Linked DNA regions of Saccharomyces cerevisiae S288C. Each later gene encodes a partner of the first gene's protein in a complex. Each region holds a gene or a part of one and is shown in the gene's direction. Other genes may lie near its edges. The genes, in order: TOF2 and CTF4.

What was found.
Region 2: the proteins of TOF2 (region 1) and CTF4 are in contact, whole or in part, in a crystal structure (PDB 5HOI), measured with the Saccharomyces cerevisiae proteins. Residues at the interface, in NP_012935.3 of Saccharomyces cerevisiae: Ile504 (codon at 3,350), Gln505 (codon at 3,353), Thr507 (codon at 3,359), Ile508 (codon at 3,362), Arg509 (codon at 3,365), Leu511 (codon at 3,371), Asn512 (codon at 3,374), Arg513 (codon at 3,377); in NP_015461.1 of Saccharomyces cerevisiae: Ile728 (codon at 4,281), Met731 (codon at 4,290), Ser732 (codon at 4,293), Lys735 (codon at 4,302), Thr737 (codon at 4,308), Ile740 (codon at 4,317), Leu756 (codon at 4,365), Lys758 (codon at 4,371), Ser772 (codon at 4,413), Glu773 (codon at 4,416), Met774 (codon at 4,419), Glu814 (codon at 4,539).

What each region holds. Positions count from the first base shown.
Region 1 is NC_001143.9:458,276-463,079, reverse strand, and holds TOF2 (Tof2p), read left to right. Parts: upstream 1-1,840; coding exon 1,841-4,156; downstream 4,157-4,804. Other genes in the region: chromatin-associated RNAPIII regulator FPT1, read left to right, coding at 384-1,445.
Region 2 is NC_001148.4:797,135-802,690, forward strand, and holds CTF4 (chromatin-binding protein CTF4), read left to right. Parts: upstream 1-2,099; coding exon 2,100-4,883; downstream 4,884-5,556. Other genes in the region: transcription factor SPN1, read right to left, coding at 1-76; TOM5 (Tom5p), read left to right, coding at 423-575; MSS18 (Mss18p), read left to right, coding at 917-1,723; ribosomal RNA-processing protein RRP9, read left to right, coding at 5,225-5,556. UniProt on the Saccharomyces cerevisiae protein: Accessory factor for DNA replication. It plays a role in accurately duplicating the genome in vivo.

The sequences.
Region 1 (4,804 bases):
CTACTTCGCTGAAAACTTCCTTGTTTTAGCATGTGGCATTCTCAGTGTACATAATGATTTATAGCTCAAAGGCTTTTAATGTTTAGGTAGTTACAGACCTTTTGCCGCCGTGAATTTTTGACGTCTTGTAGTGCTGTGATATAATTGGACTATAAATCATTACCCGGCCTTTTAAGGCATGAGTGGCGTTCCAACGTGCTGTCAAAACTATGAGACCAAAAACCAAAACACACCCCTAAGAAATGTATAGGGATTTATATCAGCATAAAGGTGCCATAATTAAAGAGATTTAGCCTGAACCCATTACTATTCTGTTACAGTTAAGTACTCATACAGACAGCTAGAAAAAGAAGAAGAAATACCAAGTACAAAGAAAGGAAACCATGTCCAAGTTAGAAACCGTTTACTTATACGCTGGTGAAGAACAACCACGTGTTAAATTGACCTGTATTAAGGAAGGTCTCACTTTAACTCAGGTTATCAAGTTCGTGCATTCTATTCAAGAATTGTACGGGATTGAGTTGCAAACTTCTGAGACCATAACAGAAAATTTGAAGATAGATTGTGCACCCGCATATTTGAAGCCGAATTGTATTCCCCATTTCTACATTCTCGAATATGAAGAAATAAGTGACACCTTTTTCATTTGGAAATCTGATGGTCGTTGGCAATTAAATAAGTTGTCTGCCTTGTTGTACGTGGATAACGACGCTAACGTGGTTAAGAACACTTCCTGGAAGGAGGTTTTCCAGAATGATCAACGATTTAAAAATTATGATAAACGGGCCTGGTTACAAAATTGTCTAGAAAAAATGAATAGAGATCTCTCAAAACTAAACGTTGAACAATTTTGGTCTCAATATGATAAAATATGTCAAAGCATTGCCAAACAAAAGAAAAAACAGGAACAGTTCAACATGGAGGTTTTCGATAACTTCAAAAATATTGTTTCTATTGCTATCATAAAGACCAAAGTTTTATCGAATAAGCGACTTTTGACAACAACTTTAAAAAATTATCATAACTCGATGAAGAAAAAGTATAACATCCAGGAACAAAATCTTAAGGAAAATAGTTTGGCATCGTGCTCAAACAATGAGCCTTCCGCATCTCTGGAAAGCGAATCAAGACATTTTTCTCCGGTAAATTCGCTGTCTCCTTCATCTTTGAGTACCGATGATGAGGCTGTCTCGACAGACTACATCTATAAAGGTCCTGAGTCTAAACCAAACGTGAATTTCATGCATTCAAGTGCTACAAACGATCTGATCAAGTCAAATTTTGAAAGCTATTTTAAATTGATGGCCGAAGACTATGAAACTTTTGACTTGAGAGCCTGGTCGAGACAAAGACCTCGAAAATTTCAGCTTGTGGAAAAAAAAAAAATCACTAAAAACCCTCCTAATAGCCATCATCCGCATAAAAATGGCAAAATATCATTTTAACTATTTCCGGGAAAACATGTCTTTTTATAGCATCTACATCCATTAAATCAAGAGAATAAAAGTAAAACTCCAAAAGTATGTACGTATATAGAACCAATTATTCAATCATTTATAGAAATGTGACCTGTTTTTTCTCTACTATTGTTACATAGGCATCACGAAAAAAAGTCGCATTATACGATACTGTTATATAATTTTTTTCATATTCTTCAGATCTCAAATGCAAGATGGTCCTAATTTGTTTGTTTGTTTATTTATTAGTTTCGCTGAAGAAGGAAAACAAGTCATTTTTGGTTAGCTACCCAATTATACAAGCATTCAATAAATACGCCAATCTTTTGCCACATTTCTTATAATATCCTTTGCCCTCCTTGGTGTTTGGTTCAAATAAGTAAATGATAAAAATGTGGAGGTTACAGATTGTACTGGTGCCGCCAAGTGCTCAAGATATTATCACATTTCTCGAAGCACGCTTGAATACTCCACAATCAGTGTCTCCTATGGTCCAGTATAATGAAGATATAATTACGCACAACAACAGTATCAATAACTGTAGCGACCCCTCTCCTACGAGCCCGTCTTCGCAAAATTCTATTCAGTCGAATCGTAGTAGTGATTTCATTAACTACCTCCCGAATTGTAAAAAGTTTTTACATTTTACGGACGGTGACAATACCCTTTTACAACTATCTAATGAAATTTTAACTAAATTTGATAGACTTTATCCAAATTTCAAAGAATCCATTGAAATCGTATCTCTACAAGATAGGCATGGTTGTGATTTGGACTCTGAATTTATAATAAAAGACGTATTTGAAAATGATGGTGTGGTTTTGGTAATTTTAAAAGATGAATTAGACTGGAGTAGAAATCAACATATTTCACTTTTACAATTGGCAAGACAGCGGAGACGGCAGGACAACAAGCCATCCACAAAATCCATCGTTACTGAAAAGAGAAAAAAGATCTCTAAGGAAGACTTATCTTCTATATCAAATAAAGATACAATGCATCTAATAGCTAAAAGCTCGCTCAAGAATAACTTCATTAATAAATCAAGAGTATCAACGCCGCTAATGAACGAAATTCTACCGCTTGCAAGCAAGTATGATGCACTGAATAAAGAAAAGTGTCCCATGCCACTTACTTCCACAGTAGTGGCATCAAATGTACACAAAGACGTAAAAGATCACGCTCGTGCTAAAGAGGGAGTTGTAACGCAAGGGAGTGATAACAATAAAGAAAATATACCTTCATCCACTCAACAACAGAAAAATGATGGCGCTAAAAGGGCCGAATCAAAGGATTTAGATCTTTTACGCAATTCGTCAGAAGATGCTGATTATGAACCCGCAGATGAAAACTCCCCTCAAATTTCGTTTGATTCGATTGATACCGACTTCCAATTGAGCACTACTTCTCATACTAATTCTGATATGCATATACAATATTCTAACCCCTCTAGTGGTGCTCATAGTCCCAGGAAGAGTTCCTTAGAAATTAAAGTTCAAAACAAAAAAGGTGATGATCTGCCATTGAACGACAAAGATATAGGTGAGAATTGTAGAAGGATAGAAGCATTTTCAGATGAAGAGGATTTTAATGAAACCGATAATGATCGTGCGGATTCGTTTATCAACAATTCTAAGAAGGCATCGATGGGATTTCGGGATATCAATTCCGACTTGGATAGCGTTTCATTCAACAGTGATATTGAAAATGCAGTACAAAGTACTCAAAGTACCAAAAATGTTGTTTCTCCTCCCTTTTTTCCTGAAAAAGAATTGAATAATCGGTTACATCAAAGTCAAGGTAAGGAAGCCCTATTTCGACTTGTTGAGAAGGAGTTTCCTGATAAATCATTGGGTGCTGCGTCATCTACTTCGCATGCAAAAGACGTAAAAATACAAGAAACTATTCGGAAACTAAATAGGTTCAAGCCAACTGGGGAAACTAAGGTCCAAAAAAGGAATAGTATTACGGAACCATATTACGGAAAATTTGGAATAATGAAGAAAGATAAACCCAAATCCATAACTTCAAAAGGGGTAAGTCTGGAAACAAAGCACTTTGATGATCCCAATACCATTATTTCCGGTGAGAAATTCGCAAAATTTGGTAAAATAAAAGTGAAACGAAAAACTGATGATGTTGGATCGAAAGTTATAGAGTTTAAAAGAAAAAGAAATATGGGGAATAGATCCCTAAAAGATATTTTTGCCAATGCTGGGAAACCGCCAAATGCAGCTTCGACCATAAAAGTAGTCAAATTAATGAGAGATCCTGTTGATAATAGTAAAGACAAAGTGGAGGCAACTTCTAATAGTACGGCTCAGGAACAAGAACAAGTCTCACCCAAGTTGCCAGTTATGAATTCAACTCCTGGAAAAAGAAAAAATGGCCAAGCGATACCGTCCAGTTTAGAAAGAACACCGCAGCTCAAGAAAGTCAAGGTTACCAGGTCGCATTCTTCACCTTCTTCTTCTTCTTCCATGTCACTTGAATCTTCATTGGATAGCTCTTCCTCAGATGATTCGGATGATGATTCTGATTCGAGGAACGTGCAAGTTAAAAAAATTAATTTCAAAACAAGTCATGGACCAGCTGGAAATTCTAATGGAAAACCAATGCTGGATGTGGATGACAATGAAATAAATACAAAGAAGTACCAAACACCTAAATATGTTGAAAGTGATGAAGACGACCAGTAAGTCTGTCAGTAATTATGTTGGGATCTCTCAACCATATCTTAAATATTCTTGGCGAATTGTAGTAATTTTTTAGACTGGTTAATGATATCATAATTAAATCTTCAAAAGCAACCAACAAAAGAGAACTAATAGCGTACGGTATGCATCAATTATATATGATTATAACGGACTTTTATTCATGGACGTTTATATCATTCTGGATTATTCGTCATTATTGTTCATTGTTGAACACAATATAAAAAAATATAAAATATGGTTGCTAAGAGATTCGAACTCTTGCATCTTACGATACCTGAGTATTCCCACAGTTAACTGCGGTCAAGATATTTCTTGAATCAGGCGCCTTAGACCGCTCGGCCAAACAACCACTTATTTGTTGAAAATTTTAGAATTCAAGTATACCCAGTCATGTATTAAGTTAATCTTTATGTCATCTTTCTAAACTTTATATGTGTTGGAATAAAAATCCACTATCGTCTATCAACTAATAGTTATATTATCAATATATTATCATATACGGTGTTAAGATGATGACATAAGTTATGAGAAGCTGTCATCGAAGTTAGAGGAAGCTGAAGTGCAAGGATTGATAATGTAATAGGATAATGAAACATATAAAACGGAATGAGGAATAATCGTAATATTAGT
Region 2 (5,556 bases), on another chromosome or scaffold:
ACTTTTGGGAGGAAGCTGTCCCATCTTCTGGTGTCGCTTCCACCACTTTGGGTTGTTCTTGATCGGCTGTACTCATTGCTAATTGATATGTTTTTGCCTTTTATTACTAAAAGTTCCTCTATATATACTTCAGAGGACAATAAACTCCCTTGATATGGCCTGCATATACTTTACAAGTGCTATCAAACAAAGATGCTGGGCAATGAAGCTGACAGTTAACTCTTCCAAAACTTCCCTTCAAAGAAATTGTGAGAGAAAAAAACCTTCTTGTTACCCTTCTTTGGAAGAATACCGCACATCATAAAATCAAGAAATGAATTCGAAAGTTTACTCTTTCTTTCTAGAGGCGTTACACCAATATTAGCGAATTGCAGTTTCCCACAAAAGGCGTCCATTGGCATCAAATAACTAGATAGTATAAAATGTTTGGTCTACCTCAACAGGAAGTCTCCGAAGAGGAGAAAAGAGCTCATCAAGAACAAACTGAGAAAACCTTGAAACAGGCCGCTTATGTGGCTGCGTTTCTTTGGGTTTCCCCAATGATCTGGCATTTGGTGAAAAAGCAATGGAAATAATTCCCCACTGAAGAAAAAAGATTGCATCTATGAATGACACTAAAATATGTTTCTCTTTTTGTATTTGCTTTTGATTAAATAATGGTCAATTTGCGCCCCCCACCTTATATAGTTTAGAGAAAGACGTGTAAATATTTTTTAAAAAATTGATACTGCTCTAATGAGCCTAAATCTCCTTTCTTCGCTTGTATATATGCGTATTCTGTATGTTTGTCCAGGCAGATTTTTCGGCTTTTTTTACCAGCTTTTATTATTAAAATGTGATAACCTTAATTGAAGGTTGCGATACAAAATAATCCTTTATTACGCATAACCAAGGAAAAGAGAAAATCAGTGCACATATGGGTTTACCTGAAGTTAACTTTCTTCGAAAAAACTGCATACTTGTGGAGTTAAAATTATTCTATCAAACAGTATACCCACCGAAGGAACTATATTGGAATAACCGAATAACTGCAGAATTGAGTACATTCTCCAATATTAAGTATGCAAGGCCGACTTTCGCAGTAAATAATGGCACATTTCAGAGAACAAGACCGAAATTAGACTTGGTACTGGCTTCATCTGATATTCGTAAGCTGGCTACGGTTTTATTTAATTTAAAAGCTCTCATAATGAATACGAAGGGTGAGGAACCCACTCTAACCACGATGACTAGTGTCCAAACGAACGAAGAGAAAAATGATAACCTGGAACAGAAATATTCAAGTCTGCTAGATAGATGGAATGGGAAAGTAGAAGTGCATGATTCTCCTTTCCTTCAACTCCAACGGGACAGCAACCTTTTGTTTGCTGAGAGGCCGGTACGTTACGTTAGCACTACAGAAGGTGAAGGCGTGGACATATCTAGTGAAGAGTTTTTCAGGTTAGAGGAAGAACAGTGCCGAAGGAATTATGATGTTTTGGTCGATGAACATTCTACACCATCAGTCGGGATGAAAGACGGCCAATACGGACCAAATATAATTCACTTTGAACCGTCGCTGTACCACACATATTCTTCTCTACCAATGAGTATGAAATTTTGGTTAAATGGTCTAGAAGACGACGAAACGACGATGATGAACATTGATGAGAAGTCAGCCGAAAATCTGGATATATTATTACATGGTTTCAAAGGATTTTCGAACAAGCGCGTTAAAGGATGAATTAATCATCCTCTTCATGTACTACTTATGTCCAATTTGAGTGTAAAATCACAGGTACAAGGCTTATCCATATTCGTATATATCTTCATAATGTTTCATAATTGCTTCAGAAAATTATTCAAAACGTCTTGTGATATTCATTAGGTGAAATCGTAGTTTGCCTGATACTTGAAAGAATCTCACCTGGAGAATGGGTGTTTTCACTAAGATTCGTTAATTTCCACTAATGATTAATTGTTAACTGTTTAACGCGACGCGTAATAAAGTTTCCTGAATACGCCAACATATGGGAACATATAGATTAAATTAATAAGAAAGCTTGGGAAAAATAATTGAGAAGGGCAAGAAGTGACGTAAATATACTAGACGTACTATTATGGTTTCAGTTATAGACAAGCTTGTTTTTGACTTTGGTGGGAAAACTCTGGTCTCTCTCGCACCAGATAATAATACTTTGTGTGTAGCCAATAAAAATGGCTTAACCAAGATTCTGAAGACAAATAACCCAGAAGAAGAGCCAGAGACTTTAGATTCTTCCAAATTGGTCTCGTCTATAAAATGCTATTCAAACTCGCACTTTCTGATGACTACAATGCAAGGTGATGCTCTTAGGTATAACATCGATTCTAGTCAAGAAGAATTATTGGCTAGATTTGCTTTACCCCTACGTGACTGCTGTGTTATTCATTCAGGTAAAATGGCCGTATTTGGAGGAGACGACTTAGAACTAATCCTTTTGGAATTGGACGATGAAACACACAAAAAACATGCCATTAAAATCGATGAACAAGTTTCTCAAATTTCTTACAATTCACAGATGAATATTTTAGCAGTTTCAATGATAAATGGTAAGGTACAAATTTTTTCTCTGACATCTACTATTCCAAACAAAGTTCATGAGTTAAATGATTACATAGTGGCCAATTCATATGATGATACACACAGAGATAAGATACTCTCGAATATGATGGATGATATAGATAAAGACAATGATAATGACCTGAGTGAAACGGCTGATCCAGATGAGAACAATGTAGCTGATCCAGAATTCTGTGCTGCTAATAGAATTTGCACGAGAGTGGCTTGGCATCCGAAGGGTCTGCATTTTGCGCTACCATGTGCAGATGATACAGTAAAAATATTCTCTATAAAGGGATATTCCCTACAAAAGACGTTGTCCACAAATCTCTCATCAACAAAGGCTCATTTCATTGATTTGCAATTTGACCCGTTACGTGGAACTTACATTGCGGCAGTAGATTTAAATAATAAGTTAACGGTATGGAATTGGGAAACTTCCGAGATCCACTACACCAGGGAATTCAAAAGAAAAATTACTAATATTGCCTGGAAAATCCAAGCGGACTCAAAAACTCTAGACCTTGTTTTAGGTACCTGGTCCGGTAGTATAGCCATTGTCCAAAATTTGGCAGAGTCCGTAGTATCTAATATACCTGACCAATCTGTTGCTGAATCTTCAACTAAACATGGGCTTTTTGTAGACTCCGAATCTGACTTGGAAAACTTAGAGGGAAATGATGATATAAACAAAAGCGATAAGCTATTTTCAGATATTACTCAAGAAGCGAATGCGGAAGATGTGTTCACTCAAACACACGACGGCCCCAGTGGATTAAGTGAAAAGAGAAAATACAACTTCGAAGATGAAGAAGACTTTATTGATGATGACGATGGTGCTGGTTATATTAGTGGCAAAAAACCACATAATGAACATTCTTATTCGAGAGTACACAAGACTCATTCGTTTCCAATCAGTTTGGCAAACACAGGAAAATTTCGTTATATGCCTTTTTCTCCAGCGGGAACACCTTTTGGCTTTACTGACAGGCGTTATTTGACAATGAATGAAGTGGGCTACGTATCTACTGTCAAGAATAGTGAGCAATACAGCATAACTGTCTCTTTTTTTGATGTTGGACGTTTTAGAGAATACCATTTCGAGGACTTATTTGGCTACGATTTATGCTTCCTAAATGAAAAAGGCACTTTATTTGGCCAATCCAAAACTGGGCAGATACAATATAGGCCACACGATAGCATACATTCAAACTGGACCAAGATTATTCCTTTGCAAGCTGGTGAGAGAATAACAAGTGTGGCAGCCACCCCGGTTCGCGTTATTGTTGGTACATCATTAGGCTATTTCAGAAGTTTCAATCAATTCGGGGTTCCATTTGCTGTTGAAAAGACATCCCCAATTGTAGCGCTTACTGCTCAGAATTATAGGGTTTTTTCAGTACATTATTCGCAGTTTCATGGCCTTTCATACTCTTTATCTGAATTGGGTACTTCTAGTAAAAGGTACTATAAAAGAGAGTGTCCACTTCCAATGAGTTTACCAAACATTAATTCTGATATGAAAAAAGACGCAAATCTTGACTACTACAATTTTAATCCGATGGGCATCAAAAGTTTGTTCTTTTCAAGCTACGGAGATCCATGCATTTTTGGGTCCGACAACACGCTTCTATTGTTATCAAAGTGGAGATCACCAGAAGAAAGTAAATGGCTCCCTATTCTAGATAGCAACATGGAAATATGGAAGATGTCAGGAGGGAAGGAAACGACAGATATACATGTCTGGCCCTTGGCTTTGGCGTATGACACATTGAATTGTATCTTAGTTAAGGGCAAGCATATATGGCCCGAGTTTCCCCTTCCGTTGCCATCCGAAATGGAGATTAGAATGCCAGTATTTGTTAAGAGTAAATTACTAGAGGAAAACAAAGCTATATTAAATAAAAAGAACGAAATTGGAGCTGACACCGAAGCGGAAGAAGGGGAAGAAGACAAAGAAATACAGATTCCTGTTTCTATGGCGGCGGAAGAAGAGTATCTGCGCAGCAAGGTTTTGTCAGAGCTGTTGACAGATACACTCGAAAATGACGGTGAAATGTACGGCAACGAAAATGAGGTATTGGCAGCATTGAACGGTGCATATGATAAGGCTTTGTTACGTTTATTTGCGTCTGCATGCTCAGACCAAAATGTTGAAAAGGCTCTTTCGCTTGCTCATGAATTAAAACAAGATAGAGCACTTACTGCAGCCGTTAAGATATCAGAAAGAGCTGAGCTGCCCTCTCTCGTTAAAAAAATTAATAATATAAGGGAAGCTAGATATGAACAGCAATTGAAATAAAAAAATGTAAAATATATATACGCAAGAGACAATTATTTGATACCTGTTCATTTGTTCAAATCATCGTTCAAAATGCTCCCACATTAACATATATTTCTTTGAATGCGACGATAATAAAGAGTTACGTTGAACATGATCTGAGCTGGAAGCGTCCTTGCGAATTTTCGCGAAAGGAAAAAGTGAAAAAATATGAAAAAAAAAAAAAGAGATGACATTTTATAGATGAGCTTTGATTAAACAGTGTAACACCTGGTCCTGTACCGTAAATATTCAAATAAGCATCAATTCAAAGTTCTTTATTTCTTCTTTAGCATTTCAAAATTATAGAAAATCTAGAAAAGATGTCAGATGTTACCCAACAGAAAAAGAGGAAAAGATCCAAAGGAGAAGTTAATCCATCAAAACCCACAGTAGACGAAGAAATCACAGATCCATCCTCAAACGAAGATGAACAACTAGAAGTTTCGGATGAAGAAGACGCATTGGAATCTGAAGAAGAATTCGAGGGTGAAAATCCAGCCGATAAAAGAAGGAGGCTTGCAAAGCAATATCTGGAGAATCTGAAAAGCGAAGCTAATGACATTTTAACTGATAATAGGAACGCTGAAGAAAAAGATTTAAACAATCTCAAGGAAAGAACAATCGACGAGTACAACAATTTTGATGCTGGAGA